4 linked regions of the Arabidopsis thaliana genome follow. The main gene of each other region encodes a partner of the protein of the gene in region 3 in a complex. Each region holds a gene or a part of one and is shown on either strand. Other genes may lie near its edges.

Region 1 (7,233 bases), on a different chromosome or scaffold from region 3:
GCTTTGTGCTCAACCTGTCAGTGGGCCATCAGAATCAGGAGGTTCTGGTGGGAAAGATAAAACCAAAAAACCTGCTTGCGATGATATCATAGGGCTTGATTCCTTGAAACAGTTCTTGTTATACATAGCCAAAGGTCCTACTTTTAATTTTTCTTTATGTTTCTTAGAGGTAACAAAATGCTTGAACTTGTTGTTGGTTTACCTCCTGAAATTGTGTTAGGTACTGAGATTAAGAAAGATACCCGAGTAAAAAAGAGCATTCTCTGTGCGGCTGGCAAGGTAATGTTCTTATTAAGTTTTTGAAATTACCTACAAATGCATCTTTTTATGATTCATATATTACAAATTCTTAGTACAGTTTCTAATTATCTTGTCATTTTCGATTTAGATGGAAATTCGATCAGATCTGATGGATTCTCATATATATGCCTTCAAGAGGTTGGTCAGATCTGCTTTCCTGCTATCAAAGTAGTTTTATCTGTCGATACTCAATATGTTCTTTTGTCTTACAGAGCAGTTCTGCAGGAAGTTTTGGATCAAAAACCTGCTTTTAGGAGCCTAAAACAGGATGTACTACCGTATCTTGTTCGTACACAGCTGGTTAGTCGGATACGGTCCTTGCAAATGACCATTTTTTTTTTATTACCATTTTGATTCCTTATTTGTGCGGTTTCCCCTTGAGTATCAGAGATCAGATGTCTTCTCTGACCAAAGTAATGTAGAAGAAAATGGGAATGGAAATGGAAAAAATAATATGCAGAACAACGAGGTGGTCTTGTCTCAAATTCTCTCCAACGCATCCATGCCAAGCTTTCATCAAGTCTATGAATCAGGTCTGGGTACCCGGAAAACCCATAAATGCTGTGTTTATATAGCGGATGAAAGTAAGTATTTCGTCCGCTTGAATAGCATTCAAGCCTTCATGGACGTAAACAGAGATGTAAGTTGTTTACACATGGGATTCCTTCTCCAGTATTTTTTTCTCAGTTGACTTATGAAGCTCCGCAATTGTTCAAACTTGTGCAGGTTATTGGTGAATCAAACCACCTATCTGGATACTCCTTTTCTGCTCATCACAACATTGTCCACCCATCAGCTGAGCTTGGATCGAAAACCACAGTACGTAACTCTACATGTGTAGATATTGAGCATTTGTTCTGTGAGTTGTGATCGTGAATAACAATTTTTGGGTTGCAGGTTGGACCTCATTGTATGCTTGGAGAAGGCTCTCAAGTCGGTGATAAATGCAGTGTCAAAAGATCTGTAATTGGGAGACATTGCCGGATAGGCTCCAATGTGAAGGTAATAATTAGCTTTTTACTCAAGCCAGCCAAAGAAAGGTGGTGTACATCTCGAAAAGACACTCAACTGCTTGTATATGTGGGTGCAGATTGTTAATTCAGTTGTGATGGACCATGCCACAATTGGAGACGGATGTTCAATACAAGGCTCAGTCATTTGCAGCAACGCACAGCTTCAAGAGCGTGTTACTCTAAGAGACTGCCAAGTACGTTACCCCCTTCAGTTTTCATAATACAGTGTCCCCTACGTATCAATGCTTTTACAGATTCCATAATCAAAACATCAATTGGTTTTATAGGTGGAAGCAGGGTATGTTGTTTGTGCCGGGAGTGAGCACAAAGGAGAGACCTTTGCTAGAAAATGAAAAGGAAGGATAAGCAAATGAGGTCACATCTTGGAACGCTTTTTTAAAATGAAAAGCAGCATTACTTAGTCATTCGTTTGGTAGGAGAGAAGAGTGTGAAGGATTGGAAAGTTTCCCACTAAGGGTTTTGTTGATTAAGAGTTTGAGATTTTCCGTTAGTATCTTTTACTGATAGAGTTTGATCTTTTGCTATTCATTACATATACATGAAGTCTTGAAACACTTTGTCAGCCACTGACCCTTCTCTCTGTTCCGTTGGTTATATTACATATGTCTTTTTTTGTTCTTCTCATTATTTACTCTTTTGTTCGAGATAAAACACTTTCCTGAAAGATCTAAATTTTGTTTTTGGTATTTCCATAGAGACGAATACACCCAAAAAGTCACATGCCTTCAGATTCGATAAATTTCAGAGTAAATGATTTCGAATGTATGAAACCTTTCTGTTTAAATAGTCACGAGAATAGATAAACTTCATAGCTTGTTTAAAGTGTAACAAAATGTACAAGTTGTGATTCTTCTTGGCGAACTTTTCGTTGCTTAACCCCTCCTAACTTCTCCCACAATGCAATTTTTATTTAGAGATTAAACCTGCAAAACCAAATCCAAATCATTTTATGTTATGTTGAGACAAATCTACACCATATAGAAACATTTCTAATTATTTGAGACTCCAAAATAAAGTTAGTGCACTCTCGGTCGCTAGAGTTCCAGGTTATCTTCTTATAAGCCTTAGACAATAATTATTTCTTCATGTTTAAAACAACCATAGCTTTGTTGACTCAATCATATTCATCATGTACAGTACCGTTGGTTATGACAGACGCAGCCCCATATGAGAAACGTGCGTTATCTAAAGATGAGAAGATGACTCTAGTGACCGAGTTACCTAACAAAGTTAGCTGCTTCTAAGCCTCTCCATGACACCTTGGGTGTGCAATACAAAAATGAAAGTGTGCACGGCTTCAGCCTCCAACCTACATCGCTCCCATCTCATCAAGCTTTGAGCTCTTATGCTGCAAAAAAGTTAATTTTAGGGCCGACAAAAATAAAATTTGCAGAGCAACACCAATGTGCGAGTAACCAGAAACTTCTAAATTCAGCTTCACTAAAAAGAAGGAGATGCCTCCATTGCCATTAGTATATTACCTTACTCTTTTTGTGCCTCTGAACGTCATCAGCATCTTCAGTCCCATTGTTCTTCCTTTTCTGAAAGTAAAGTGATAGCGTATACCACGTCAATTCTATCGAATTTAAGAATCCAAAATATACATATATAGACGGCCTAGGTACCAACAAGAGCAGACAGTTTTATAACCTTATCATGGTGTCCACTTTTTTCCTTCTTTTTGTCTCGATCCTTGTCTTTATCCTTATCTTTGATCCTATCTTTATGCTTGTGCTTGTGCTTCTTATGTTCCCTATCTTTCTCCTTCTTGTCTTTATGTTTTCTATGTTTCCTATCCTTATCTTTTGACTCACTTTTTGATTTTGATACAGTGGTAGGAGCTCCCTTCTCTGCCTGAAATAAGAACAGGAGATCTCATATTCTCAAACCTAGCTCAACTATCATCACAAGATACTTGGAAGTAATTCAACTTATCATGGTTAGTAAAAGATCTAGATGTTACAGGAAGTTAAAATCTAAACAGAGAGAGCAATATTCTTACTGGAGGCAATTCAACAGGAGCTGTATCATTAAGCTCAAAAGCCTCCTTAAGTTCATCAAGAACAAAAGGTTGGATGCGAGCATTCGTATCTCGGCTACTAAGTGATGCATTAGGAATAAGCTGATCTAATTGCATTCCTTCTCCTTTTCTAATCTCTGTGTCTCCAACCAAATTATGAAGATAATGAGCATCTGACAGTGACTCTGGAAGTGATCTCTTGCAAAAGAATTCATGGTGTGGCAACAACTTGTATTGTGTTATAAGATCTAGTGCACCACCCAATTCTCTAGGACCTGCACTTAGAAACCCAGAAGCTCATTGACCCTCAAATCCCAAAATAATAAAACTTGACAAAAATCAAAGCTTGGAAACCAAATTTACCTCCAAACTTAACGCTCTCTGATTCCATATTTTTTTGTTGTTGTTGATTAAACTGCAATTATTGGAATTTGAAAACCAAACAAGCCAAAGCTCAATAAGCTCAAGATTTGACGAAAAGCGAAAACAAAGCTGAAGCAAAGATCAATCACCGCCATACATGACTTCACGAGGCAGATCTCATCGCAACCCAGAGATATAAACCCTAATCTGGAAAACGGATTGCTCTTGGTCGTGAATTTCCCGCGGGAATATCGAGGAACGTTCGAGAAGGAAGTAACTAGGGTTTGAGAATGGATTAGGAGTTTCCTCAAACAATGGCGTTATAAAATCGCGATTTCTTTTTCTTCTTCTTCTGTTTTTTTTTCGTCCAAAATTTTGTTATTTATACGGGTTACCGCGTGGGGTTCACGCGCTTCATAGTGCGTATGATCAACTTTACAGATTTCACAACGACTTTTTTTACATTTGTATTTTTATTTTAATAAAAATTTCAATTTTCTTATAATTTGCATTTTTAATCACATAGTTAAAAAAAAAAAAAAATGCTAATATAGCCGTCAAATAATTTTTGTTGCAATCGTCAATAGCCACCGATTAAGACGGTGGTCAACTTGTTAGTGGATATGGCCACGATTAGGTGGTGGCACTCAGTTGCAAGATAGCCACTGTTTTTCATATGGTCATATGTATGTGTATTTGTGGCCAAATAATTAAGACCAATTTGCTAAGGCCAAAAAGTGATTCGTTTAGTCATTGCTATTGTTCGGATCCTTTATATTGAAGTTGGAGAATGATTAACCAAAGCTAAAATCACCCAAATGGCCAAATCGTACCAGCAATCAATGCATGATTTCTTAACTCTTGTTTCTAAAACTATGATCATCCGACAATTCTCAATTTATCGAAGATTAGTTAAATGGATTCTGCATCTGACGGTTTGGTTAAGTCATGTTTTATTTTGTTCTCGTATGATGTAGGAAGAAGTCAAAATGTATCACAACACAACACAACCAGGGGTATCTTAATAGATGATGCACATAGAACAGAACGTTTTTTTTTTTTGTGTGTGATAAAGAAGATTACAGAAACGTTACACTACTGTCTTTACACACTTGAGACATATTTGCTATATCGCTGAAGAGAGAAAGATTCCGACTTTGTAGAAGAACAAAGCCCTAGTTTGGCCTTATACAACAATTAATGTAGGTCAAGATCCTCTTCTTCTTCTGCATGGTAATTAAATTAGTAATGTTAGAGAGACTTATGACGGTGACAACATGCTTCCTCTTAATACATTTCACATATTGCATAATGCTTCGTATAACAAGGTGATTTCGACTGTTATACAAACTAGAGATGGAGTTTTCATATTCGCTCTAGAAAAGCAGTGTACATTTCGTTCATGTTTGCCTCTTCAAAGTTTGGAGGCTCCAAGCAAAACAAATTTATGTAACTCCCAACATATAGTTAAAACATAATGCAAAGATTATAATATGATTCAGACTTTTAGTTGGTTTAATTATATTTTTATCTAACAATAGAAGTAATGAAATTTAGCTTAGGTGGGAATATAATGTTAAAATATGGTTGCTTATTGAAATGTTATGGAAAAAATGCAAAAAAAAAAACAAAGTTTTCCTAACAAATAAAAAGAAAGTAGAAAATGGGAAAATGGAAACGAACTATAAATTCATTGTTCGAACAAAACACATCATTTCAAAACCATGGAAACAAACTGCAAGCCAATACACTATAACATCAAATTTAAAGATACACTATCATTACATATTCATAAATGAGACCTGATACTATGATGCATGTATTAACTCATAATTAAGTTGAATAACATTCATGGTTCAATTATGTCTCTGAGTTAAGAAAGAAATGGAATGAAATATTCTTTTTAGGCGCATGCAAAAACACAAAACAAACAAAAGACGCAAAGAGAAAATCAATTCCTGAATTGTTATACCACCTTGTGATGATCCATGCGCGTTGACTAAGGGGAAAAGGATCATCACAAGGTGAATATGAACCAAAGAATCCATGGAAGAGTAAGTAGAGAGAGATAATTTAATTACCATGACAGGGTCATCGTCTTGAGTTTCATGGCGATGGTGAAGTTGTTGGTGGTTGCGACGAACACTTACCATGAGTTCTTGTTCGCTTCCCAAACTAGAATGTCTTACACCAGCTTTGTTCTGCTTCCTGTTTGCGCGAGCTTTAGAAAAGACAACCGAGTAGTTTGTAGCATCATTTGGTCCTTTTTGGTCCCACCCTCCGAACTGTGGAACTGGAGTCCATGCAGCATTCTGTATCCAAGAATAAAACTCGTTAGATAAACATATAATTTGCTTAGGGAACCAAATATTTCCGGAAAAAAAAAAAAGAACAATGAGATCGATGTTGAGATTGCATCGGTTAATTTTCCCCATTCTATAAAACGCGCATTAACCGATGAAAGCTCAACATGTCTCGATTGTAACTCAGACATCATAAAGATCGATGATTTAGTAATAGTTGGATAAAAGAAAAGAAACAAGATTTTATAAAAAAATTAGAGAGCATGCCTCCCTTCTTTTATCCATAAATAGATATTGCTTGGTTTAGAAGAAAGATGTTCTTAAACATTGATGAAGGTGTTCATGACGAGGAGGAGAACGATCTCTCTTGTAAAATTCCACTTTTTCCTTTATAGTACAAATTGTTTGAAATCACGATTTCATAGGAGCAGATTTAGGAGGTTTCTAAACTTGGAGGATCTCAAGCAATGGTGTTCCTTTATGTCCGGGGGATTTTTTAATACTAACTTTTGGCATCCTATTGGAAAAGGCTGTTAGGGGTCATGAAGACTTCTAAGCAAGTAGAAAGTTGTTGAGGTTGAAATGTCAATCTTAGTGTACTTTCATCATATCGTTACAAGAATTCGAATGGATAACGATGAAAATAATTAGTGTTTGCTTCACACAATTGGATTAGCTTTCTGATGCTAAAAATCAATAACTCTGTTTGAAGAGAACAATTAAATTGTGAACTTGTTTTGCTCATTTGTATAAATGAAGTTTTATAACTTCCTTGATTGGTATATATATGTTCATGAAGGCACATGAAGACTCTGAATATTATATACATGCATGAGTCTTATTACATAGTCAGAGTATCTAATATTAATTTATTAGAGAGTGAGCTTTTTCTTTAAAACATTAGATAGAAAGTAACGTCCTTATGAGCAATCTCCATTCCTCAGGCGTCGGTATAGATCCAAGTAACCCGGTGACTCTGGTCTGATTAACCTGCATAGACAAAATGGAACAGAATGTATTGCCAAAGGGAATTGGAGATTGCTCATAAGGATGTTACTATCCGCGGCGAGAGCATAAAAGTCCCGCAATATATAATGGTAAGTAACATGTTTCTTCTGAGGTAGAAATTTTGGGAGAAAAGAGTGAGTACCCGTGCCGAAACAAGAAGTCAATAATGACCAGGGAACAACTGTCCTTAAAAAAACTAGTCTTC
Region 2 (8,797 bases), 570 kb from region 3:
GTCCTTCCACAGTACTTTCCTCCTCCTGTTAAGCGAGTAGCCGTTGGAACAGATTTTGGAGAACAAGATGCTTAATTTGAACATAATAAAACTTATTACAATATTAAACCTTGAGAGAGATTAAATTAGCTTGATCAGACTTGTGCTGGAGGCTATCAGCAAGTCCTTCCGGTGTCTCCTCCTGTTACATTCACATACATACATACATAAGTGGTGTATGTATTAAAAAAAAAAAGTGGAGTGATCCGACGTTACTTTCTTCTCCTCGTCCTTATGTTTCTTGAGAAACGGTTTGGTCTCCAAATCATCATCTTCCGGATTTCTCTTACCTAAAAGAAGAGCAGATCAATGGAAAAGAAAAGAAATAAAATCAACAGCCAAGTAGATAGTAGCTCAGAGCCACTGAAAACAAACCACATAAATTAACTTCCTTGCTAGAACTGGCCATGGAGACGGTGAAAACAGCGCCAATTTTGTTTTCCGGCAAGGCAATTGACTCAAAGTTATAATAACAACCCTAGAAAGAAGGTAAGATACTTGACAAAAAAGAAAGAAAGAAGGTAAGGTATTCATAACAACAATAATCTGGTTTGGGCTAGGCCTGGGCTTTTATTGCCACCAACCAATCTGGTTTCATAACAACAAAATAATCTGGTTTGGGCTAGTCCTGGGCTTTTTTCCACAACCAAGCAAGATTCAATTCAAGTCTGGGATCAAGTGTGTGTGTGTGTGTGTGTGTTGTGTTAAGTGATCCTGTAAAAGGTGTATGAACCAGTCATGTTGATATTATGTGTGAAACTGTGAACCGGTTTGGTAATAAGCAGTAAAAAAAATAAAACTTTCAAATTGTAATACCAAAACATGGAATAGTTTAATCTTGGCGGCCCATAATACTGAGAAGCCAAGTGGCAACGAATGGAGTGGGCTTTTTACGTTTAGGTCCTCTTGTTCATCCAATGATCTTTAGTTTTTGTCCAATAGATTGTGTAGGTGAGAACTGAGAATGAGAAGTCAGGAATTCATCACCATTTTTTTTTTTAATTTGTTTTACAAACAAAGACAAAACACTGTTGAATCATCTAACCTTGCCGTTTAATTTAGAAAAAACAGAACAAAAATGTCAGAACTTTTGTGTAGTTGATGTTATTCTTCTGTCTGATTAGTAGGAAGCAACAATGAATTTAAACACCACATGCATCTTCTTTTTGAACCAACCAAAGCAGACTCTCTCAACATTATCTCTCAGCGACAAGTTTAGTTCAGATTCCTCTAGAACCCATTTTCAGATGTCTCGTCAGATTTCCGGCCAACCCTCTCGCCGTCTCATCGTCTCCAATGCTGCTTCTTCTCCTTCTCTCTCTGGTGGCTTCCCAGGTTTCTTACAAAAATTGTTCCTTTCTTTCTACTTAGAATTCAGATTTCAATTGATGAATCTTTCTGTTCGTGTTAGGTAACTACCATATTGAGGTTTCTTGACTCACCTATGAGATTTAGTATTCTGCTAATTGTGGAACATTTGAGCTTATAGTTCCAATTGGATGAAATTAGATTTGAGTAATCTCTCTGTGTATCACAAATTGTTCCTTTTTCTCCCATAAAGATCTAATTTTATATGAGTAATCTTCTTGTTTCATGAATATTTAGATGCTGGAGCACATAGTAAAGAGGAGATGGAAGCTGAAACAGAACAGGATCCAATGAACCTAGCTGATCCAGACAGTTGTTTCTGTGAGTTTCAAGGTGTTCATATACACCACAAAGTGTTAGATCCACATACACTCTCTGATGATGTTTCAAACACAAGCCCTCATGCTCAAGAAACACCAAAAACCAAGTTTCCGATGATTCTATTGCACGGTTTCGGCGCTTCTGTGTTCTCCTGGAACAGAGTTATGAAGCCATTAGCTCGTCTCGTTAGTTCAAAAGTTCTTGCCTTTGATAGACCAGCATTTGGTTTGACTTCTCGGATTTTTCACCCGTTTAGTGGTGCTACCAATGATGCAAAACCATTGAATCCCTACTCCATGGTGTATTCCGTGCTCACTACGTTGTATTTCATCGATGTTCTTGCTGCCGATAAGGCGATTCTTGTGGGGTAAGTAAGCTAGTAGGTTCCATATACTTTGCATTTCTTATTAAAGTGCCACCATAAGCTGAGATTGTTAATTCATATGTTGTAGGCATTCTGCTGGTTGCCCTGTAGCTTTAGATGCTTACTTTGAAGCCCCGGAGCGTGTTGCTGCTCTCATTCTCGTCGCTCCAGCTATATTCGCTCCCCGTCCTGTGGCCACAACTGATGCTGGAGAGAACCGTGACAAAGAAGCTCCCACTAGCAACTTTCTAGGGACTCTAGTTGAGTTAACCAAAGGTGTTATAAGAGCAGTATTGAGAGTGGTAACGGGAATGGCGAATATGCTGAGTTCTCTCTACAAGAAAGCTTTAGCAGCTTTCCTCAGATCCTTCCTTGGAGTAATGCTGGTACCGCTTTTTTTTGTCTTGGCTTCATTCACCAGTCATGTCATTTTTTATATGTTGTTAGACCAGAACACTTGATGTGTTTCTAAGGTGGTTGTTTTTTTCACCAGGTGAGGATGGCAATCAATAAATTTGGAGTAACAGCTGTTAGGAACGCGTGGTATGACTCAAAACAAGTGACGGATCATGTCGTGCAGGGTTATACAAAGGTGAGATTTTCGGGTTTTCTCAGGTTTCTTTATTTCTTCTGCATTGTTATGTTAAAAATTTAGGAAATTTGATTGTATTTGTTGCAAAAAAAACAGCCTCTTAAAGCCAAGGGATGGGACAAAGCTCTCGTGGAATTCACGGTGGCTACACTAACAGATAATAATGGCTCAGAGAAAAAACTCCCATTGTCTAAAAGGCTTCAAGAAATCAAATGCCCTGGTAATATCTCTTTCTATAAGATTCTGACAATGAATTAGAAATTGGAACCAAATATTGTGCATTGTATGTCTGAACTCTGAACCAATGACATCATACTATCTTCATGTTTCTAATAGTTCTGATTGTGACGGGAGATACGGACCGTATTGTGCCAGCATGGAACGCAGAGAGGCTGGCACGAGCCATACCGGGATCAGTGTTCGAAGTAATTAAGAAATGTGGTCATCTTCCTCAAGAGGAAAAACCAGATGAATTCATATCTATTGTTGCAAAGTTTCTAGGGAATGCTTTTGGAGGGTCACAACAACAAGACGTGGACTTGAAGTTCCAAGGCATTGTATCATGAAGTATAACTATATATTTTAGCTCAATCAAGACTAAATTTTAGAGAGATTCTTCATGTTATTGGACCTGAAGAAACAAATGTCGACAATATCAAAGACTAGATAGATATAGAATAAAATAACCGAGAGACATTGATTCTTCAACAGATTGATATATAAGCGAGAATAATACACCATGTGGTGCTTCTTGCGAGTGCGGGCAAGTTTTGCAGAGTCCAGTTGATTAGCTTGGAGCTTGAAGCTGGCTTGAAGCTCCAACTCGTCAAGCCAACGCAAAGTTTCTGGAAGAACAAAGTCGGCAACATTTTGAAACTCAAAGCGAGGGGTGCAAAGGACTGTGCAGTCTTCCTCAGCCAAGAGGGCGACATGCTTCTTGTTCGTCAGAGTAGCAGCAGTCTCATCTTCCAGATTCTTCTCATTCGCCTGAGCCATGTACTGCCTGAACTTTTCGAGATAAGCCAAACTAGGGGCGCATCTCATTGCAATAGTAAACATGTAACCAAGAGCATCCACTTTCAGGCGCTTGCACTTGTCCAGTGAATCACAATCTCATGCGGATACTGTGAATCAGTTTCCTTGCATATAGCAACTTGTTGGCGAGCAAGAGACAAGTGAGTAGGATCAAATCGCTGATAGAGGAGGCCACCGGGATGAGTTCGATTGCGGGGAGGAAACTCTCTAGAAACCTTAGAGAGCATATGCATAAAGGTTTTCCCTACGCACCTAACCGTCTCGACGGAAGTCTTATGGATAAGGTCAAACTTAGGGCAAGCCTTGGCCTCGAACCTGACAAAGAGTGATCTCGTAAGGTCCTTGAGAGAAACAGATACGATGGCATCAACAAAATCCTTTTCAGTTAGAAGGACACTCATCTTCTTGAAAATCATCATCTCATCCACCATCTCTGCTTTATCTATCTGCACAAGTACGAGTCCAAAATATACAGGAATATCAATCATCAACTCATCATGTCTACATATGCAGCTAAATTTCAATTCTATGCAATGCAAACAGAGACCATTGTTTTACCAAACCTATGCTCTCACTTATGTTTATCAATAAAGGCCACAAAATTAGGGCTTTTCGATTTCCAATCAAAGACTTTCGGTTGTATCCCCGACGTACAAAATCTAGGCCAGAATTCTTAACAGCTCAACGTTTAACCCATCAGGTTTATCGATAACTAGCACTAGGAAAACAAAATTTACAACAAGGAAAATTGAAGTAGGTACCTTGAGAATTGGGAGGAACTATCACGAGGATTCGCGAGATTGAGGATGAGGGAAGGTAACTCGTAACCCTAGGAATTTATCACTCTGTTATATTTCACCTCATAAGTGATATTAAAAATTACAAAATCTTTGTATAAACAGATTTAAAAAGTTTGCTTGCCTCGCAAGTTAGGTTTAGGGATGGTCAAATACGAGAAGCCCTTTTGTCCTAATAATTTTCTTTTTTATTTTCATAATGAAACATGAAGAAAGTGAAAAAGGGATTTTCCCTTGTCACAATTATGAGGTTCTATTGTCACAAAACCGGACCAAACCGGGAATTCACTGGACCAGAAGTACCAATAAATACTGGGACAAAAGAATAGAGCATCCTAAGAAGTTTATGTTGGATCTGTCAATGCACTTTTGTTGTATATTAACGCCTCTGAATGGTCGTAGTAATTGTATAGATCATCCGAAGGAAAAAATGGACTATCTTCGTGTGGCGGGTCTCTTGAGTTGCGGTTTCTGAACTTTATTTTGCTTTGGGATAGTTTCCAGTACTTGTATCGTCCTCTGTCTCTTAGCTGTTCAAAAACAAATGGGTCATTAAGAATTAGGTGTATTGTAATAGTGGAAATATTGAAATCTCTTAAGACGATTTGACTAACCATTCTCATGTTGGTGGTAGCTCTCTTGGAGTTTCCGCTTTGCAAACTCAAACTTTGAGTCTGGATCCAGAGCTTTGAGTTTCTGAACAAAGACAAGAACACTTGCTATTAGAAACAAAACAGATTAATAATCAAACACCACGGCTTTATTAACTCAAACACTCACATCTTGTTGAGGTCCAGCAAGTTTCCGCTTTTGCTCAGTAACAGCAGTTGGTTTTCGTTGGATTGCGGATACCATTTGTTCTCTACTTTGCTTTGTTTGTCTTTTAGGCTCGACAACATCTGTGGCTGAGTGCTTCATAGGTCTAACATCAGCTTCTTCTCTCCTCGTCTGTTGATCATTGCAGTACCTCCCAACCACATTTGCATCATTTGTTCCCTTGGGTCTCCTCCCCGCACTACTTTGCGATTTTCTTTCATGTTTGGACTCCACACTGTGACGAGGATCTGAAAACAGTGGCCACCATGAGTGTCAAAATATAGGAAAACTTTCAAGTAGAGAACAGAGTACCAAAGAGTATACTAACTCACTTCCATCGCAGTCCAAACAATCTAAGATCTTCAAGTGACCCAAGACATTATGAAACAAGGACGAGGGAGGAAACTTGTCAGGATAACATTTCGTCTATGCCAGAAATAAAATATGATGAGAGGGAAAAATGTTAATAGACCTGAGAAAGTTCAAACCCATTAGGTTCAGGTGCATAGATATCTAAATCATGTGGAGGAGAAGGAAAGGCTTCTTCTTCATCAATTACTGAAAGGTTTAGAGACTCTGGCGTCCCTTCAGTGCCTGCAAGACCCAATTACTATAAATCTAGACCAAAACCTGCTCGCACTGACTACGGAACAGGAGGAGAGAGCTATTTACCAGCCATTTCCTCTGGGGTGTTCATCCACTGGTCCACCAGCCTCTTCCACTCTCTGTGCATCCCATATATAAAAACACAATCTTTATACTCGGGAGCCAGAAAGTAAGGAAGAGTAAAATGTTCTAAGTATTGAGCTAACACAAGAGCAGCTCCCTAATGATCAACCAAGGCTTTTATAATGACATTTTACAATTTGAGACATCCTACAAGGCAACTGGTTTGCATCTAAATCAAACCGTGGAGGTTCAATTTTTTTGGAACATTTTGCCAAAGTTTAATTCACATCACAGATGCGAGAGTATGAGAACAAATGAAACTAAGCACACAATGAGAATGATGAAACTCATACGCGAAAAGAGTCTTTGCAAGTTTGCTAATCTTATCGGAACTATGTCTCCTCAGACCATTAACAGCCTTTCCAATTTCAGTATCCTGCAAGAACGTAAACACTTAAATCACTCCACAGCCTCGAAAAGCTCCATCAGAATAAGCAACTTCCACTACACCAAATCATACAATATCAAAACAACACCAAAAAAACAAACCTTAAGAATGTCCACACTCATAGACATTGACTCAAGCTTTCTCAGAGATTCGAGTAACACAGAATCTTTCTGCAAAAAAGATGACAGAAACCAAAAACTCAACAATCAACACAAAGATTCCAAATTTAACCAATGAATTAGCACAAGTTTTAATGTAATCCAAGCAAAGAGACTAAAAACCTCATCGTCTTTGTTCGACAAGATATCTCTGATCCTCATAACCTCATCAACACTCACAGACGCCTCTTCACCTTCACCCGTCGCAACACCAGAATCACCCCTATCACCGCCGCCGCCAACTCCAACTATCTCCACCGCCGCTTCGTCTCCAGCTATCGAGAGCTCAAGGTGGTCACAACCAATGCAGCGACTCACTTTACAAGAGAAGAGAAGCTCAGCAATTCTATCACTCCTGGATTTAAACTCCTTTGGCCAATCTGCAGCAGCTACCATAATCGCATGATCAATGATACCAAAAATATCAGAATCTCCTCGCCGGAAATACTCTCTCCAAGTATCCAACGAAACAGATGGTCTCATCTTCGCCATCACGAAACGGCGAGGGAAAATCGATTCCGGAATCCGAATTCCTCGATCTGCAAAACCCTAATTAAATTTGAATTTAGGTTTTTGAATACGAATCAATATAGTACTAGTTGTGTAGTTTTTTTTTTTTTTAAGTTTCTCTGCAGGAAATAAAATTCGCCTGAGAATCTGACAAAAGTTTCTGCAGAAAGTCCACAAGAACTTTCCCGAGAAAACTTAAAGAAACAGAGCTTGAGCCAATTAAAAGAGGGCAAGAGAAGAAGACCCTAGAATTTTAAAAAGCCAGAAATTTATGTCGACATTAAAAAACTTAGGTTATAAAAAAAAATGGTAATAGTTTTGATCATTTATCTTGATAACTCATCTGTTTTATTTAAGTAAAATATTGAATTTGTCAATATATATATTAATTCTAAAGATATAGGCTTATGATTAACTGAATGATTATTTAGTTAATAGTAAATTAGTAATAACTAGACTATACATGTGTCGTCCTATATGACATAATGACCCTTGATGAAAAACACGTCACATGGCCTAGCTAGTATAAAGATGGGATATTCGTTTTTTTAAAGTTATGTTATCAACATTACATTCAGAGCATACTGTAATAGTAAATTATTAACACATTACACATGTCCTGATACCAACAATGGGGTACTCATTTTTCAAAGTTATGGATAATTACATTTATCACGTGAATTACTTGAAAGGTAATCTAAATAAACGCGTTTTTGGTGTCGCAATTATGTCGTTTTAAAAAGCATTGTTCATAGTCCCACAGATGTTTAGCACTATTTTTTAATTAGTACTAGTATTAAATTATTATTTTTGTATTTTTTTCATTAAATTTCTCGTTAGTTTCGTGCTTTGACTCTTTTGTTAAGCTTCAGCCACATGTTCCCGTTGTTGAAGCTGTCTTTTGAAGTTTCGTCGTCGATATCATCCTCGACTCTATTTTCAGTTGCGTTAAAGACTTCTCTTCTTCCAAAAGTTTCCTTTTCTTCTATTTTAAATATTCTTTCAGCACTTGGAGATTCACAAGTTTGTCGGATCAATCCATTTTAACTCCGGTAAGCCATACTTGCATGATTCGTTTTGTTTCCACCGATCACATGTTATCGTTTATGCTCCATAGCTTAATCTTTGACTCATTCATGATCTTTTTTTGGTTTAATGTTAAAACCCATGCATGATCTTGTTTCTGCATATTTTTGTTTTGGTTCAGTGTAAAAATTTCTGCATAATTTTGGTTCTACAAAAATAGCTACTATGCAAAAGCAAGATCACGGGGTCAAAGATTAAGCTATGGAGCTTAAACACTACTTGTATTTGACTATTTGTTTCTACGTCATTTGCGTTTGATTTGAATCTAAAGGCCTTTTAATCGATTTCTTGTCATGTGTTTGTAAGGGTTCAGTGTTTTATGTATCTTTCAAATTGTGCTTCTAGTGTATCCATTTTGGATTTGTGAAAGTTGTTTAGGGCTTATATATCTAAAATTGTAAAACCTATTTTAAATTAATATAACAAAACAGTTTCGGACTTTTAACTCATAATATCTCTTCGAATTTAGTTCATTTTCCAACTTTGAAATTCGTTGGCTTGTGATCTTGAAGCCTTGTTCCGTCCGGAATTTATGTTACTTAGTCACCAGTAGAGTTACAAACGATGAGTTATTTTAATCTTTTTTCTAAAAGG
Region 3 (7,494 bases):
GATTTTGTTTATGTTAACTCTCTGGAATGCAGGATCCAAGCAAGTTTGCTGTTGCTTCAGTAGCTGCGGTGTCTGCTGATGCAGGTGGTGGTGCCCCAGCTGCTGCTAAGGTAGAGGAGAAGGAAGAGTCCGACGAAGAAGACTATGGAGGTGATTTCGGTTTGTTCGATGAAGAGTAGATTTTGTCGGTTAAGATCTTACCTTTTTGTCGTGGATTATAAGTGTTGCTTTGTTTTTAGTATGTTGGACCTCAATTTTCTTGGTTTTAGCCAATCCAGTTTTATGTTACTACTGTCTTTTATTTTTTGGAAAGATTTCGTTTTCTTATGGTTGCTTTAATATTTTTCAATAATGTCTGGACGATGAATTTGCAATTTATCTATCCGTCGAGAAAGTTAAGAGCTTCTTATACATGACTTTGATAAAATTTGTATGAAGCAGAATCTTCTTAGATCTACAAGTTGAGTCATTTTATTTCTTAGAAAGTAGGCACAAATGTCATATTCTAAAAGTAAATGAGGCTAAACATGATAGAATGTAATAAAACTGAGATACAAATCAGAAACGGCATTAACCTTAGTCAGCAACCACTACGAGGGAGAAAGTGAGTGGGACTGAGAACGAATCAATCTCTCTGCATGTGTTGATGATATTTAACTTCTTCCTCTGCTTTCTTCGCATAGTTCCACACAAAACAACAAACTTAAATACTTCTTGAAAAAATGGAAGTCATTCTCAAATCCTAGAAATTCCATTTTTAGAAGGAGAAGAGTGAGTGAGTGAGTAAGAGAGAGAGAAGAGCTCGTCTCTGTAGTCATTAAATCAGAGAGAACCAATTTTAGTCTCAGTATAGCTATGGCGATATTCAAAACCCTATCTTTTCTGGTCCTTTTATGCTTTGAGATACATGGAACCGCAGGTGTGGATTTCACGTTTTCATTTGATGAATTCGTAAAATCTCAGAGTTTTGACAAGAGTGTTGCTCTGTTTGGAGATTCGAAGCTGGTCAATGACAGTTCTTCGATTCAGCTGACTGACTCAGTGAATCGGACCGAGGGACGAGTCTTTTACAAGAAACCCATCAATCTATTCCAAGGTAAAGAGAGGAACTCCGTTATTTTCTCGACTTACTTCTCGTTTTCGATGCCCAATGAGATTGGTGATGTCTTGGCTTTTGTAATGGTTCCAAGTACTTTGGATCTTAGTCTGTTTGGTAAGAAAGATTACAGTTCCTCTGCTTTAGGGTTTCTATTAGAGTATGCAAAGAACGAGACAGTTGTTGCTTTTGAGTTTGATATCTCCAAGAGAGGAAACCGTGCAAGAGTCTTAATTGGTAGACCTGAGTCTGCCAAAATTAGAAACCTTTCGTTTGTGGGTGACTTGATGATGGATGATGGAGGGATTTTGAGCTGTATGATTGATTATGAGGCAAGTTCTAAGAGAATGAGGGTTCGTTTCAGAAAACGTGGTTCGATAAAGATGTTTGATCCGTTCTTCTCTTTCTCGGTAGACTTGGAGAAGCTTTGGAAAGGTGGTGAAGTCATGGTGGGTTTAAGCTCTGCTAATGGGAACTCTTCCAAGCCACATTTTCTCCATTCATGGAGCTTTGAAATATGGCATCTTGATCCGATATGGGTGCAACCAGCGCCATTAGGACCAAATGAAGGTTTGAAGCCGGACGTTTCCACGGAAATGGAAGAGGGCCGAGAAAATAGTGAGTGTATATGGAGAATGCTTGGTGCTCTGGTCTTGGCTGCAGTATGTGGAGCCGTAGGGGCAATGTCAGCTATGTATCTTTGGACTATTTGCAGTGTTAGGCGGTCAATGGCCGTGGTTCCAGAGGAATGTGCAGTGAGCATTGTGGTCGTTGCAGTTAAAGATGGCAAGAAGTAATGAGAAGTTTGTTTGGCTTTGGCTTTGGTTTAAGAAGGTTGTCTTGTTGTAGTGTAAATGTAGTACCTTCTTCCACTTCCTCTGGTGTTATCTTTATTTAGTGTTTTCTTTTATTTGCTTCGTTAGTTGCAGGTTTCACATGTACAATCTCTATGAAAGAAGCCGTAAGCTTATTTGATCTTGCAAAATAACTTAATTTATTGATCTTGCATTTAACATGTTTTATATTTCTGGATCGGAAGCAAAAATCAACACCCACTGTCTTTTTCTCACTTTGATGCTGACTGCAACAGAGTAATGTGAACCGAGTTAAAAAAAAAGGTCTCTGTTCAGTCATCTCGTGAACAAAGATCAAATCTCTAGAAAGAAGACAACATTCACATGTTACCAGAGAGTAGAAAGAAAGAAAGTTAATCTAAACCTCAACATGGGACATCAACAACAAACAAGAGGTATATCAAGGAGAAGAGCAGATACTAAAGATCCATACAAAATGTTATTAGAACTTATTTCTAACCTTTCTTTTAATTGATCCTCCCTAATCACTAGAGTACTAGGTATCATCTTGAGAGCAACTGGAGTGGTAAGCTTCACAAACGTCCAGGTTTAATGCAAGAGGCAATTCTTGGTAAGCGCGGTGTAAAGGAGGTAAGATTAACGCAGACTTTTTATCCATTGCTAATAGCCTTCCACATTTACTGCATCATCAGAAGAGAAATGAAAAGTTAGTCCACGGGAAACAAATGTATTAGAAGAATTACGGAGAGTCTGCATACGTGCAAGGTTTGCTAAATACGGATTCAAAACTGCATATCCATAGCTGCATAAGAAGAAGAGAAAGGTGTTAATTAACTTCCAGACAAAAAAGGTTCATGTTATCCAGAGACTGAAGTGTGCTTGTAAAATGCTTTACCAGAAGAGAGTAGAGAGCTGTTCCAGTACCAAAGCCGAGGAAATATTGCAAGGCTGTAGCAGCATGTTCCTGCAAGAAAAATCTAATTAATGCAAGTCCCCAATGAATCAAATTTGTTAAACTATATATAATATCAATCGCATCTTTATTACCGTTATGTGTTTGTAAACATGATAAACCGAGAAGCCTCTCGCATGTAAGTAGCTGCCTCCCTGTAAGAAAGGGATGAAGCTAAAACATGAGAACTTAAACAATTTCACATGAGAATCAGTATATTTTAATGCAAGGAGGTTGGAAGTGACCTCATCTGGGGAGAAGAAAGCAACTGCATCTGGATCAACAGAACCCGCTGGACTCAACGAGACTATAGCTCTGAATAGAGAAGGAAATGATAACTCAATAACAGCAATCTTGTCGACAACTTCAGTCTGTAACCCTGATCTCAGCTTGCTAGAACTCTGGAAAATAGGTTTCGATGCTTCTGTAGGATCATCACTACCTGACCCAGGTAAAGAGTTAGCTCTTTTAAGCCAGTTCAATCGTCCATAAGTAGACACCTTCACACTCGGAACCAGCTTCTCTAAACGCGATTGTATATCTGGCAATGTTTTGTAATCAACCGGCTCCTCTCTTCCATTTTCTAATAGCAAATGGGAGGCACGATGTTTTTTTGAGCTTGGTTCCATCTTTAATCCATCATCAATATGAGGGAAGAATCGTCTTTTCTGATCCGTGAAGGCCTTGAGAGCTAACCTACAGTCATTATACACAACGCGAGAAAATGGAGAATGCATGAGATTCAGTAGAATTGGTTAGCTGATGAAACTCCAAGTTGGTACCACCAAGCTTCACTAACAGCCCTAATATGCAGACTCGAACCTAAACCCTAAGTATGCTTTAAAATGATTAGCAACGAATCTGATACCTGGTTCTATCAACAGCAGAAGCACCAGCTTGGCCAGCAAGCTGTCTTTTCCAAGCATAAGCAACGACTGCACCATCTGGACAAACCAAAGGCATGTGAAGACCCCAAGAGTTACTTCTTGACCTAAGTGATTCAGTTAACACTCCAGATTCTTCCAATTTCTTCCCTGAACCAAGCAATAAACATTGATCGATCCTTAAAAGCCCTAATCTAGAGAATCAATCAATACTAATGAAAATGATTCAGTTTTGGTTCAGCACCTATTAAGCGAAGATCCTGAAGATGTTGACGCATGGAGGCGTCTTCTCTGAGAAAGAGCTGAAGAGGCATGTCTGTGTGACGAGGTTGCGAAGCCACGAACATAGCTTCAAGGATACGGTCAGCGCCGAGGCGGATATCGGCGATAACCCTAGCCGCTTGATTGAGTCGTTCCATGGCCTGAGCCACCTGTTTCGGCGGCGCGTCCGATTCAGACTGATTGTTCGCCGCCTCGGCCGGATTCTGGAGAAGTTGGGACTGGTGTAGCGTCTGCATAAGCTGTGATTCAAGCACACTCTTTCGATTTCAATGAAATTGATCTTCTTGACGACGACGGAAGGAGAGGAATGTTTCTGGACTCGGAGAATTTCACGTTCAAATCTCAATCTACTGTAACGCCAGACGCAATTTTGTAGCGTTTGCGTTTCAAAGGCGTTTTTGTTGATATGCTTGCTTCTGCTCCTTCACGTCTTATTTTGTTTAATTTATTCCACTCTGTTAAATTGAGTTTTACTCCATTAAGCAATGCTTTATGGCTCATGTTGGACTGAAAATGTATTTTGTAATCTCAATGTTTGTGGGACTTTTAGTTTTTAGCCCATATGTACAGTTTGTTCACTTTAATATTTTTTTTTTTTTAGTTTGTACATGTAAAAAAATGGGAAATTTGCAAATATAGCCAACAAAAAAATTATAATTGCAAAACTAACACTTCAACCAATATGTATTGAACTTTATGCAATATTGACAAACTTAACCCGTGCGTGAGCACACGCGCTTATTCTTCTTCTTCTGAGTTTTCAATCGATAACTTCTATGTATTACTCTGTAAAAATTCAAATAGAGGTGAACATTCAGAGAAGTTACAGTAAGAAAATCTGAAAATTCTGGGCTTTAAAAAGCGACACCCGGGAAAGTTTCGAAGAGCAGACTGCGTGTGCAATCCGAGTGACGATTCTAGAGTTTACGAAGATTGAATTTGTGGGTTTCGATTTGGGGACTGTGGAGGCTTCGATTTCTGGCAATCGGACTGCATAAATCTTCTGCAATTGGAGGAGGAGCCTATCTAAGCATCCGAGTTTCGTACAACACTTATGTTGGCTCTTTTCTCAATCGAGGGTTTTTGATTCCGTTGAGAGTACTTGAGTGAGTTTTGTTGTACGGGAGTAGAGGTGTTTATATCTCCGTCGTCTCCACTGTAACACTCGAATTTCTGTGGCAATTGGTGTCGGCGAAGGGATTCAGCCAAATTAAGGTATGAAATGCCATTTTTTGGCTTTTGGGAAAATCTTTTTAATTTGTGTTGAAGAGCTTGAATAGCATAAACTCGGATTTGAGTAGCTTTAGGTAGGGAATCTGCTTGGTTAATACGATATTCATTTGTAATTGTTATGAAGGTTTAGGATTTAACTCTACTTCAATGTAATCCATTTGTGTTTGTTGATAGTAACGGAAGCTACTCAAATTGGTTGTATGTGTTAATGACATTTTTAGTTTTATTTGCAGTATTGAATAGCATAAACTCGGATTTGAGTAGCTTTAGTTAGTGAATCTTTGCTGGTTAATCCGATATTCCACTAATTGGTGTTATGAAGGTTTAATATTTAACTCAACTTCTATGTAATCCATTTGTTGTTGTTGATAGTAACGGAAAGCTGAGGCTATATTGGTTGAGTCTGTTAATAACATATATTTACATCTAAGATTTATATATTTTGTATTTGTGTAAGTAGCAGCATCAAAAAAGTGATACGTGGACATTTGTATTTCAGTGTATCTGTTCCATGGGGGATGTAGAGTTGCCAAAGCGTTTGTTTCGGCTAGGTTCTGAACCTGAGGGCCGAAAGAGGATAAACAATTACTTTACTCTTAGGTGGATTGAGATCATCAAGGCTGCTCTAGATCAAAACCATTTGAAGCAGCTGGAGGGTTCGCAGTTTGGATTTCTGTTGCAAATGGGGACGCATCAGTTTTCTGTAATGTTCTTACATTACATTCTATCTAGGCAGTTGGTGACAGATAAGAAGTATGAAATGTGGTGGGTGTTTGCAGGGAAGCCAATTCGATTTGCCATTGATGATTTTGCACTTGTTACCGGGCTTAACTGCAGCAAATCTGGATTCAACAAAAAGGATGCAAGGACAAGAGGGAAAATGAAAGCGGTTCAGAATCCTACGAGGTTCTACAAGGCATTATTTGGGAAAGAGAGAAAGCCTACTTCACAATGGATTGTTGGGAAGCTATCTATGGGGAAGAAATACAAAGACCCGTTGACTCGATTTCGCCTATCGTTGCTGCTACTAGTTGATGGGATTCTTTGCCCGACATGTTCGCGAACTATCATCGATCCTGACCATGTAGAGATGGTAAAAGATGTAGAATCCTTTCTTAAATATCCTTGGGGTAGAACTTCGTTTCTCGCGACTATTCGAAGCGCCAAGCAAAGAACAGCCAAGGAGCTTGCACAAGATACCACAGCTATACAAGGGTTTCCTCATGCCTTAGTTCTTGTGACAGTGGCATGTTGTCCAGCTATTATATACACGGCAGACTCGGTGTTTAACATTCTAGACCCAACCATTCCAGTCGAGAAGCTGGTTCAGTATGTATTGGGGCTGAGTTTGAACATCAATGTGCATGATGCACGAACTATCGACCAAAGTGGCATGGTAATTCTATTGTTGTAAAGCTTGTTCTTTGTATTTGGTGTAGAAAGATTGTGTACTTGACTTATCTATTCTATTGACTCTTAACTTTTAGGACCGGGTAACCTCACTGCTGAATGAAGAGCTCCTGGCGAAAGAGATCGACTTATCTTTCTCAGATGAGGAGGATGATGAAGAAGTTTCGCATCTGCTATCATTGATAATGGAGGAACACCCATTCGAGCATAACAGTTGGAGTGGTGGTGTTGATGCTAATGATGTTGAACATCCATCTGAAGATGAGTTCATGGCTGATGACTGTGTGAATCAGGCTAAGGGGGATGGTGACGATGAGATGGATGTTGATGGTTCTGGTGTTGCTGCAGAAGAGAGGGAAGAGTGTGCAGCCGGAGAAGGTGTAGACGGATTGGATGGTGAGGCGAATAAGGATGGACCGGTGACAGATAAAGATGGTGTCAGTTTTGCGGATGGAGAAGGGTTGCAGCAGGAAGTCCCAAGAGCTGGCGAGATGGAAAACAATGATAGTGGCTCTGCTGGACATGGTCTTAGAGAGGCAGTCATCAAAGAGGTAGCTGATGAGTTTGAGAAACGTGTTCTCAAGATTCAACAATCAAACAACGATGAATTGAAGTCATACTTTGAGGCTGAACTGGTTAAGCAGAAGAAAGAATTGGTTGCAATACTTACTGAATCGGTTAGGGAAGCTGTGAGTGGGCTAAATAGACAGGCTGGAATTGTTGGAGAATGCAGCAAATGTGTTGCTGATGCCCACTCTAAACAGGTTAAGCACCTCAATTTGCTTGTTGAGACTTCAAGTATTGCACTAGTAGGTGCTATTT
Region 4 (7,119 bases), on a different chromosome or scaffold from region 3:
TGGTAAAAGCCATTCATTTGGTCGATTTGCCACATCTTACCTTCTCATTGCTCTGAATCTATTGTTTCTTTTGTTCTTTACAGAATTCCGAGGACATGATGAGTTGATAGCACTTATAGGTAGAAGCTCTTTGCGTCCCACAATTGAAGGCCGTACTGCCGGCATGCTACCAAGTTGCCACACGAAAAGAATGAGAAGTCTTGCTCTTTCTCCTTCCAACCGTGAGCTATTTGCTACAAGGTGCTTTTTTACATTATTTATGTTTTTCTCTTTTCCAAAAGTGAATAGAAGATGCTACCTAAATTATTATCTGCCATTCTCCTGGATGAAATTCGGTCTCATAACTGTCGCTTGGGGCTTTGTCTGGATTTTTTACTAAGGAAATGATATTATATGCATAAGAGGGAATCATGGAACCAAGAAAGTCATTGGTCAATTAGCTAACCTAATATACTCTCGACTCATGTGCTTAATCTTTTTCTTTTCCCTCTCTTGATTTTGGTTTTTGGTTATGCTTCAGTGCATTGGATGGGGCTGTTCATTTCTGGAAGCTTCAGTCTGATAGGTAAGTCTCCTGTAAATATGCCTGATCTACTGATTATGATATTTCTTTCTGATTTCTTGGGGGTTTAAATGGTTTTAGGAGGGGTTATTGGATTATTCAACTTCAAATCCATATAGAATTCCTTGATTTTCATATGTATCAGAAATTTTAATTATGTATTTCTAGTTCCAGTTGACATCACCTTCATCCATCCACGTGATAAGTAGGCGAAATTTAGTTTCACTTATATTTGTCAACAAGCTGCAACGTTTAGTTGTACATGATCTTAAGAGATAGAGTTTTGTACAATTTTTTCTACTCTTATTTTCGTGAACATTTTAATCTGAATTTCGTTGGATACTAACCTATCCATCATGCTTTCACCATTGAGCAGGTCCACCGCTACTTTGTTTAAGACGGTTAATCGGGTAGCAGTAGATCAGAAGAAATGGGCAGAAGATATAGCTTGGCATCCACATAAGAATGCACTTTTCTCCGTGTATACTGCAGATGATGGTCACCCTCAGATATCAGCCATATATCTGAATGAAGCTGGAGAGGTAAAAGTATATGAATGCTGTAGCACATTCTAGCGTTTTACCATATTAAATTTGCGATTGGACATTCATGAGTGGAGTGTGTGCTTAAACTTGTAGAAAGTTAACTTGGTCTTCATAACCTGTTAGAAAGAAAAAAATCAATATAGCTGGAATAATTGGGAATTTGATTCGACCCTTGACTTATCTACTAGTTGTAAGATCTAACTTGATGGTTATAGTCTTTTATCCTTGGGGAAGTTAGTTATGTGCTCATTTCTTTTTGGATATCTGTTCATCTGCAGAGATGTGAGTCGCAATTTATGGAGGACAGGCCTCATAGCAAAGGTCTTATCAACAGAATCATGTTTACGCCTTGGGATGATCCTTGCTTCATCACAGGTGGGAGTGACCATGCAGTAGTGTTATGGCGGGATCAGTGTGAGAATAATGCGTGGAAGCCGACGCTTCTGCATAGGGACTTGCATTCGTCGGCTGTGATGGGAGTTACTGGAATGCGCCATAACAATCACGTCTTGTCATGTGGAGACGATAGGAGATTTGTTGGGTTTGATGCCCGAGAAGAAAAAGTCACATTTAAACATAGACTAGACAACAGATGCACAAATATAATGCCAAACCCGCGAGATGTTAATCTTGTCATGGTTAACACGAGGTAAAACTGACTCTTGATTTATATATATCCCAGAAGAAGCGATTGCCTTAAAGTCCGTTCTTTTGCTTGTGTTGTGTTTGCAGGCAGCTAGACCGGCAACTGCGGTTGTATGATGTTAGATTGCCTCAGACAGAACTATTTTCTTTTGGGTGGAAGCAAGAAAGCAGTGAATCGCAGTCGGCTCTAATTAATCAGTCTTGGTCTCCAGATGGTTTACACATCTCATCTGGTTCTGCAGACCCCGTGATCCACATCTTTGATATCCGATACAATGCACCGAGCCCGTCTCTCTCGATGAAAGCTCATAAGAAAAGAGTGTTCAAAGCCGAGTGGCACTCTTCTTATCCGCTGCTCGTCTCCATCTCATCAGATTTAGCAATTGGGATTCACAAGCTATGGTGAAAACTTGTAAAGCCATCACCTGAATTTGAAGGCCATTAACTTCTGAAACAGAACTTGTCTTGGCAAGTTGGCACAAGGTGTTGATTGGCAAGTAAGAACTGAGTACAGCACGCAGGCTGGATACGAAAACTGTCTTGGGAGTTGCATAGGTCAGTCCAGGGTCTGATGGCTCTTGTCTTTTGATTTTTTTTTTTAACTGTGGGAAACTCTAGCTTTTTAGCTGTCACATTTTGCGGGGATTACAACATTACAATGTACAGTATACATTTTTGAGGGCCAACTCATTGGAGCCAAATGTCCTCAGATTTTCTGTCTGCTATAATCCTCAACCATAGTTAGCATGACAAAGAGTTGCAACATCTATATCGATTGGTCACAAAAAAACTTTTGTATGATTGCATAAAGATTCCGGTCCATGTTTCAAAATTCAAGATTTGTCCTTGTGATTCATAATCTTGAGATAAGTAAGAAAGAGATTCATAACATGACTAAAAATGCCACCAAGTGAATCTTTGAATGTAAAGTAACTCCAAGTTTGGGCAGAGACTTCTCCATCTGCTACCGAGTATAACGGTTCTTTTAAGACCGCTTCTTGTGGAAAAAAAAAAAAAAAGACCGCTTCTTAAACCGTAATTTTGTACTAATTTTCCAATCTCTTTTTCTATTTGCATTCAGAACCGGTTTAGGCCTTTGGTTTATAACCAAAATTCAATTCAGAAATCAGAACCAAAATCCTCCGTCTACCTCCGTCTGATTCCTCTATTGGGAGAATCCAAATTTGCTTCAGGTTCCGTTCGTTCATGGCTTCGCCAGAGGAGATGGGTGATGATGCATCAGAAATTCCATCCCCGTGAGTGCATCTTCTTCCTCTTGTACACTTTCATATTCTTCAAATCTGCTCTTTTATTATCTAATTCGCATCTCTACAGGCCAAAAAACACTTACAAGGATCCCGACGGTGGAAGGCAACGATTCTTACTGGAACTTGAATTTATTCAATGTCTCGCCAATCCTACTTACATCCACTGTAAGTTTAGAATTCGTTCTATGGCTTAGGGTTTTAGTGTTCGAAATTGAGATTTAAAAAGGGATTTGTTCTAAGGCTTAGGGTTTGTACTTACCACATTCTGCTTTTGGTTACTGTTTGGCAGACCTGGCACAGAATCGGTATTTTGAAGATGAAGCATTTATTGGATACTTGAAGTATCTTCAATACTGGCAGCGACCAGAGTACATCAAGTTCATTATGTAAGTTGGAATATCTTATGGAATTGGTGTAGTCTTGTAGAGTCTTGTGAAGGTTTGGATAATATATCTTTGGTTTCCTATGTTCTTGTTACAGGTACCCACACTGCCTATATTTCCTTGAACTTCTTCAAAACCCCAACTTCAGGACTGCTATGGCTCATCCTGCAAACAAGGTACAAGAATACGATATGAATCATCAAGTGAAATCAGCATGTTAGTGAGCATTGTGAATAGGGAGTGGTTCAAAATGTTAGGGTACTGGTGTTTTTGGAATGTGTTTTGGGGACTTGTAGAGTTTAGGGTCTCTCTAGTACAAAACCTTGCTTACGTTCTGCTAGTTTGGTTCTGTGATTCTGCGTTTATGCCCATCTATTCATGAGATAGAGAAAGTTGTTTAATATTCTAAACTTTATGTCCTTTGTCAGAATTTCTTATAGGAAATCTATTGTTGTTGAAGTTTTCTTAAGTTTTGAACTTTGTCTTCGGTTGAATCTGGATTTTTCCAGGAATTGGCGCATAGACAACAGTTTTACTATTGGAAGAACTACAGAAACAACAGACTGAAGCACATTCTACCTCGGCCTCTTCCAGAGCCTGTACCTCCACAACCACCAGTTGCACCTTCAACTTCTTTGCCACCTGCACCATCTGCAACTGCTGCTCTCTCTCCAGCCCTTTCTCCAATGCAGTACAATAATATGCTTTCTAAGAATGACACTAGGAATATGGGTGCTACTGGAATTGATCGTAGGAAGAGAAAGTATGTGCTCCTTTCTTCTTCTTGATAATGATGACCATTTTGTGTGTGTTTTTAAGATGACTGCAAATGTGTTACGAAAAAAAGCAACACTCTAATATGTGAGTCATATAATGTCAGGAAGGGTATATAAGCATTTCCTGCCCTGAAGCATACACCATGGCGTCAGTCGTCAGATATGGTTTCCTCCATGTCCTAGGAGGGAAGCCTACTTGACTCAGGTTACAAAAATGTTGGAAACTCGGTATTACTCATTCCGTGTCATAGGCCGTTTATGGAAGTTGTCATATATGGTGTTCAATCTTTGTCTATGATATACAACAACCCCCAATCAGTATCAGTCTTTATCTTTGTTCCTATCGATCTTGACAATTGCAACACTTTATTTTTTTTGAGAAGCTTAGAAGCAATAGGAAAAATTATGGGAATGCCAAACATTTGTCCTTGGCAGAGATTGCTTCTGCCGGTAAAACATTAATTAGGAGTGGGGTTTCCATGTTGCACTTGTTGGTGGAAATTGTACGAAATGACTCTTTGACGTATCTTTGACAACAGTTAGAAGACCCAAACATGACAGAGTGTGCTATGGACCATGGTATACGAAACTTGATATGTGATGAAACTCGTATAACGTAACTCACGGTTCAAGAAAGGAGAAGAAAATAGCATAACTCAAGGATATGAATAAAAGAAGAACATGAACACTTATGGATTAGAAATGACTTTGATACCTTAAAATGTTGAGATTCTTCTCCATTGAATGATTAATTATAGGGAGGTTTGTTAATATAGTCCAAATTTTGGGGCTAATGTGTGATTGCAATCAAAACCAAATTTTGGAAATAGTCCACTTTTCTCTAAAATTATAATTAAAATACCATCATCAAGAGAAAAAAAGAGGCAAAAAACATAGTTACCTAAAGTAGAACGTCCAAATATGAATTTTGATATTAAAGTTAAATTAACTTTAGCAGAAAAAGGTTGAATAATATTTTGCCAAATTATCAAGTGATTAGGTTTATGATTTAAAATATTTCTAACTAATAATAATAATAATATCAAAGAAAACCGTAACCGACTCTACCCTTTAAATATAAACATAATCTCAGCCGTCGGTTTAAACGTGTCGCATCTCCATCGTTGATTAGGACTTGGCATCTTTTCGTCGCCTCTATTTAAAGAATCTCATCATCTCTTCTGCCGTTCGTACACAGAGGTTCTCTTTGCCTTTAATTTATTTTTCTTCTGCCCAAACCAAAAAAAAAAAGTTTCCAGATCCAAAATTACAACAAAGATTCTCAAACTCCTAAAACTTCATCTTAAAAACTTAACAAACAAAATTCTAATTACGAAAAATCCCAATCCTAGTGTTTCTCTTGTTGGCTTTTTTGTTTGATCTGTCTGTAATTTTTTTTTTGTTTGATCTGTGGTTTGTTTTGTAAAAATTCCACTCGTCAGCACTCAGATTAATCTCTTGTCCATTGATCTATCTATCGACTTGCTTCGACTTTTGATTTGAGATTTGCGAAAATTAGGGTTTTTGTTTCGAAATTAGTGTTTGTGTCACCTAGATGAACGATCAATCTAAGCTGATGAATCCGCCACCTCCACAGCAGATGATTGGTCAGCCTCCACCGCAACAGAGGATGAATCCGCCGCCGCCGTCACAGGTACCACGGATTATGAACCAGAGTCCGTTATTAGGCCAATCTCATCCGATTATGGGAATGAATCAGCAGCCACCACAGGTTATGATGAACAGCAATCAGCCAATGATGATGAATCCACGCAACTTTAACCTTAACCAGAGTTTGAGTTCCGAGTATCAGCAGAATCTTGCTCCTAATAACTTTGGTTCGAAAATGAGTCGGAACAATTGGAAAGGGAAGAAGATTACAAGTGACAAGAGGCCAATGATGGAGCAGCAGCAGCAGCAAATTAGGAGGATGCATAACTCTGGGATTCCTATGTATAACCCTCAGCAACTTCCTGGTTCTGGTAGTATTCAGGTTGGTGCTGGTGGTTACAAGCCGCCGACTTTGAATGAGCTGCAGTCTCAGAATAGGTTAAAGACGAGGAAGTTTTATCCGAAGAAGAAGTATGGTAACCGATATGTTCCTTATGCGCCGAGGAACACGACTTCGTTTATTATCAGGGCGAAGAAATCTGGTGGAATTGCTGAGTTGGTGTCTCCATGCCCTGTGACACCGGCGGTGTTGCCTACGCCAATGTTCTCGCCGTCTAGGGAGGTGTTGGGTGATATGGCGAAGGAGGAGTGGGGGGTTGATGGTTATGGCTCTATGAAAGGGCTGATTAGGCTGAGAGCTGATGGGAATGAGTTGGAACCTTATGAGGAGGATGATGAAGATGAAGGAGGGTCGAGTGAGAGTGATGTGGAGGAGCATGTTGAGGTTGAGAGGAGATTGGATCATGATTTGAGTCGGTTTGAGATGATTTATCCGAATTATGGTGGTTCTGAGTATAACAATGTTTTGGAAAACCGAGTGGATGATCAGGATAGCCATATTGCTCAACTGGAGGAAGAGAATTTAACTTTGAAGGAAAGGTTGTTTTTGATGGAAAGGGAGTTAGGTGACATGAGGAGAAGATTACAGTATCTCGAGAGGCGGGATATGGTTGCTCAAGATGCTAACGAGGAGGTTGTGGAGAATGAGTCTGAAAGTGATGGTGATGATACAGGGGGATCTGATGCTCGTACTAGTGGTGAAACAAAGGAGAACCATGTAGCTGCAGAAGATGTTTGTATGCAGGATGTTGCGGCAAGGGATAATGAGGCTGTGGTGAAGGAAAACAACAATAACAGCAAGAGCGTGGATGAAGTGAAAGCGAACAAACAATCGGTTGGTGTGGGAAGTTCTGGGGAAAGTAAACCTGAAGGTAAGGAAAAAGCTGAGACAGAGTTTCGGGAAGTTTCAGGGGAACAATGTGAGGAAGA

The links.
Region 1: AT3G09180 (region 3) and AT5G19480 share a complex: the UniProt entries of both Arabidopsis thaliana proteins name them as parts of the mediator complex.
Region 2: AT3G09180 (region 3) and AT3G10820 share a complex: the UniProt entries of both Arabidopsis thaliana proteins name them as parts of the mediator complex.
Region 4: AT3G09180 (region 3) and MED31 share a complex: the UniProt entries of both Arabidopsis thaliana proteins name them as parts of the mediator complex.

What each region holds. Positions count from the first base shown.
Region 1 is NC_003076.8:6,568,340-6,575,572, reverse strand, and holds AT5G19480 (mediator of RNA polymerase II transcription subunit), read right to left. Parts: upstream 4,073-7,233; 5' UTR 3,746-4,072; coding exon 3,718-3,745; intron 3,630-3,717; coding exon 3,337-3,629; intron 3,189-3,336; coding exon 2,985-3,188; intron 2,876-2,984; coding exon 2,816-2,875; intron 2,683-2,815; coding exon 2,644-2,682; 3' UTR 1,950-2,643; downstream 1-1,949. Other genes in the region: AT5G19485 (transferases/nucleotidyltransferase), read left to right, coding at 1-134, 221-279, 389-438, 513-600, 689-940, 1,027-1,119, 1,198-1,302, 1,391-1,507 and 1 more; AT5G19473 (RPM1-interacting protein 4 (RIN4) family protein), read right to left, coding at 4,893-4,943, 5,799-6,152; NUDT24 (nudix hydrolase homolog 24), read right to left, coding at 7,077-7,233. UniProt on the Arabidopsis thaliana protein: Component of the Mediator complex, a coactivator involved in the regulated transcription of nearly all RNA polymerase II-dependent genes.
Region 2 is NC_003074.8:3,385,660-3,394,456, reverse strand, and holds AT3G10820 (Transcription elongation factor (TFIIS) family protein), read right to left. Parts: upstream 7,258-8,797; 5' UTR 7,100-7,257; coding exon 6,731-7,099; intron 6,620-6,730; coding exon 6,551-6,619; intron 6,438-6,550; coding exon 6,355-6,437; intron 6,058-6,354; coding exon 6,005-6,057; intron 5,927-6,004; coding exon 5,805-5,926; intron 5,693-5,804; coding exon 5,665-5,692; intron 5,581-5,664; coding exon 5,297-5,580; intron 5,213-5,296; coding exon 5,131-5,212; intron 5,047-5,130; coding exon 4,953-5,046; coding exon of another isoform or gene 4,952-4,952; exon of another isoform or gene 4,829-4,951; coding exon 4,795-4,828; exon of another isoform or gene 4,549-4,794; coding exon 4,481-4,548; intron 4,305-4,480; exon of another isoform or gene 4,221-4,304; coding exon 3,764-4,220; 3' UTR 3,454-3,763; downstream 1-3,453. Other genes in the region: AT3G10845 (RNA-binding (RRM/RBD/RNP motifs) family protein), read right to left, coding at 1-25, 110-181, 256-329, 415-448; AT3G10840 (alpha/beta-Hydrolases superfamily protein), read left to right, coding at 1,176-1,374, 1,645-2,095, 2,181-2,478, 2,586-2,684, 2,781-2,904, 3,021-3,250. UniProt on the Arabidopsis thaliana protein: Component of the Mediator complex, a coactivator involved in the regulated transcription of nearly all RNA polymerase II-dependent genes.
Region 3 is NC_003074.8:2,816,049-2,823,542, reverse strand, and holds AT3G09180 (mediator of RNA polymerase II transcription subunit), read right to left. Parts: upstream 4,450-7,494; 5' UTR 4,266-4,449; coding exon 3,992-4,265; intron 3,898-3,991; coding exon 3,732-3,897; intron 3,560-3,731; coding exon 3,109-3,559; intron 3,019-3,108; coding exon 2,959-3,018; intron 2,876-2,958; coding exon 2,807-2,875; intron 2,714-2,806; coding exon 2,670-2,713; coding exon of another isoform or gene 2,651-2,669; exon of another isoform or gene 2,592-2,650; coding exon 2,447-2,591; 3' UTR 2,118-2,446; downstream 1-2,117. Other genes in the region: AT3G09200 (Ribosomal protein L10 family protein), read left to right, coding at 33-179; AT3G09190 (Concanavalin A-like lectin family protein), read left to right, coding at 856-1,893. UniProt on the Arabidopsis thaliana protein: Component of the Mediator complex, a coactivator involved in the regulated transcription of nearly all RNA polymerase II-dependent genes.
Region 4 is NC_003076.8:6,728,661-6,735,779, reverse strand, and holds MED31 (SOH1 family protein), read left to right. Parts: upstream 1-2,789; 5' UTR 2,790-2,958; coding exon 2,959-3,008; intron 3,009-3,087; coding exon 3,088-3,185; intron 3,186-3,309; coding exon 3,310-3,406; intron 3,407-3,500; coding exon 3,501-3,579; intron 3,580-3,644; coding exon 3,645-3,734; intron 3,735-3,912; coding exon 3,913-4,166; intron 4,167-4,283; coding exon 4,284-4,296; 3' UTR 4,297-4,544; downstream 4,545-7,119. Other genes in the region: AT5G19920 (Transducin/WD40 repeat-like superfamily protein), read left to right, coding at 1-2, 84-240, 521-565, 939-1,104, 1,386-1,756, 1,840-2,158; AT5G19900 (PRLI-interacting factor), read left to right, coding at 5,735-7,119. UniProt on the Arabidopsis thaliana protein: Component of the Mediator complex, a coactivator involved in the regulated transcription of nearly all RNA polymerase II-dependent genes.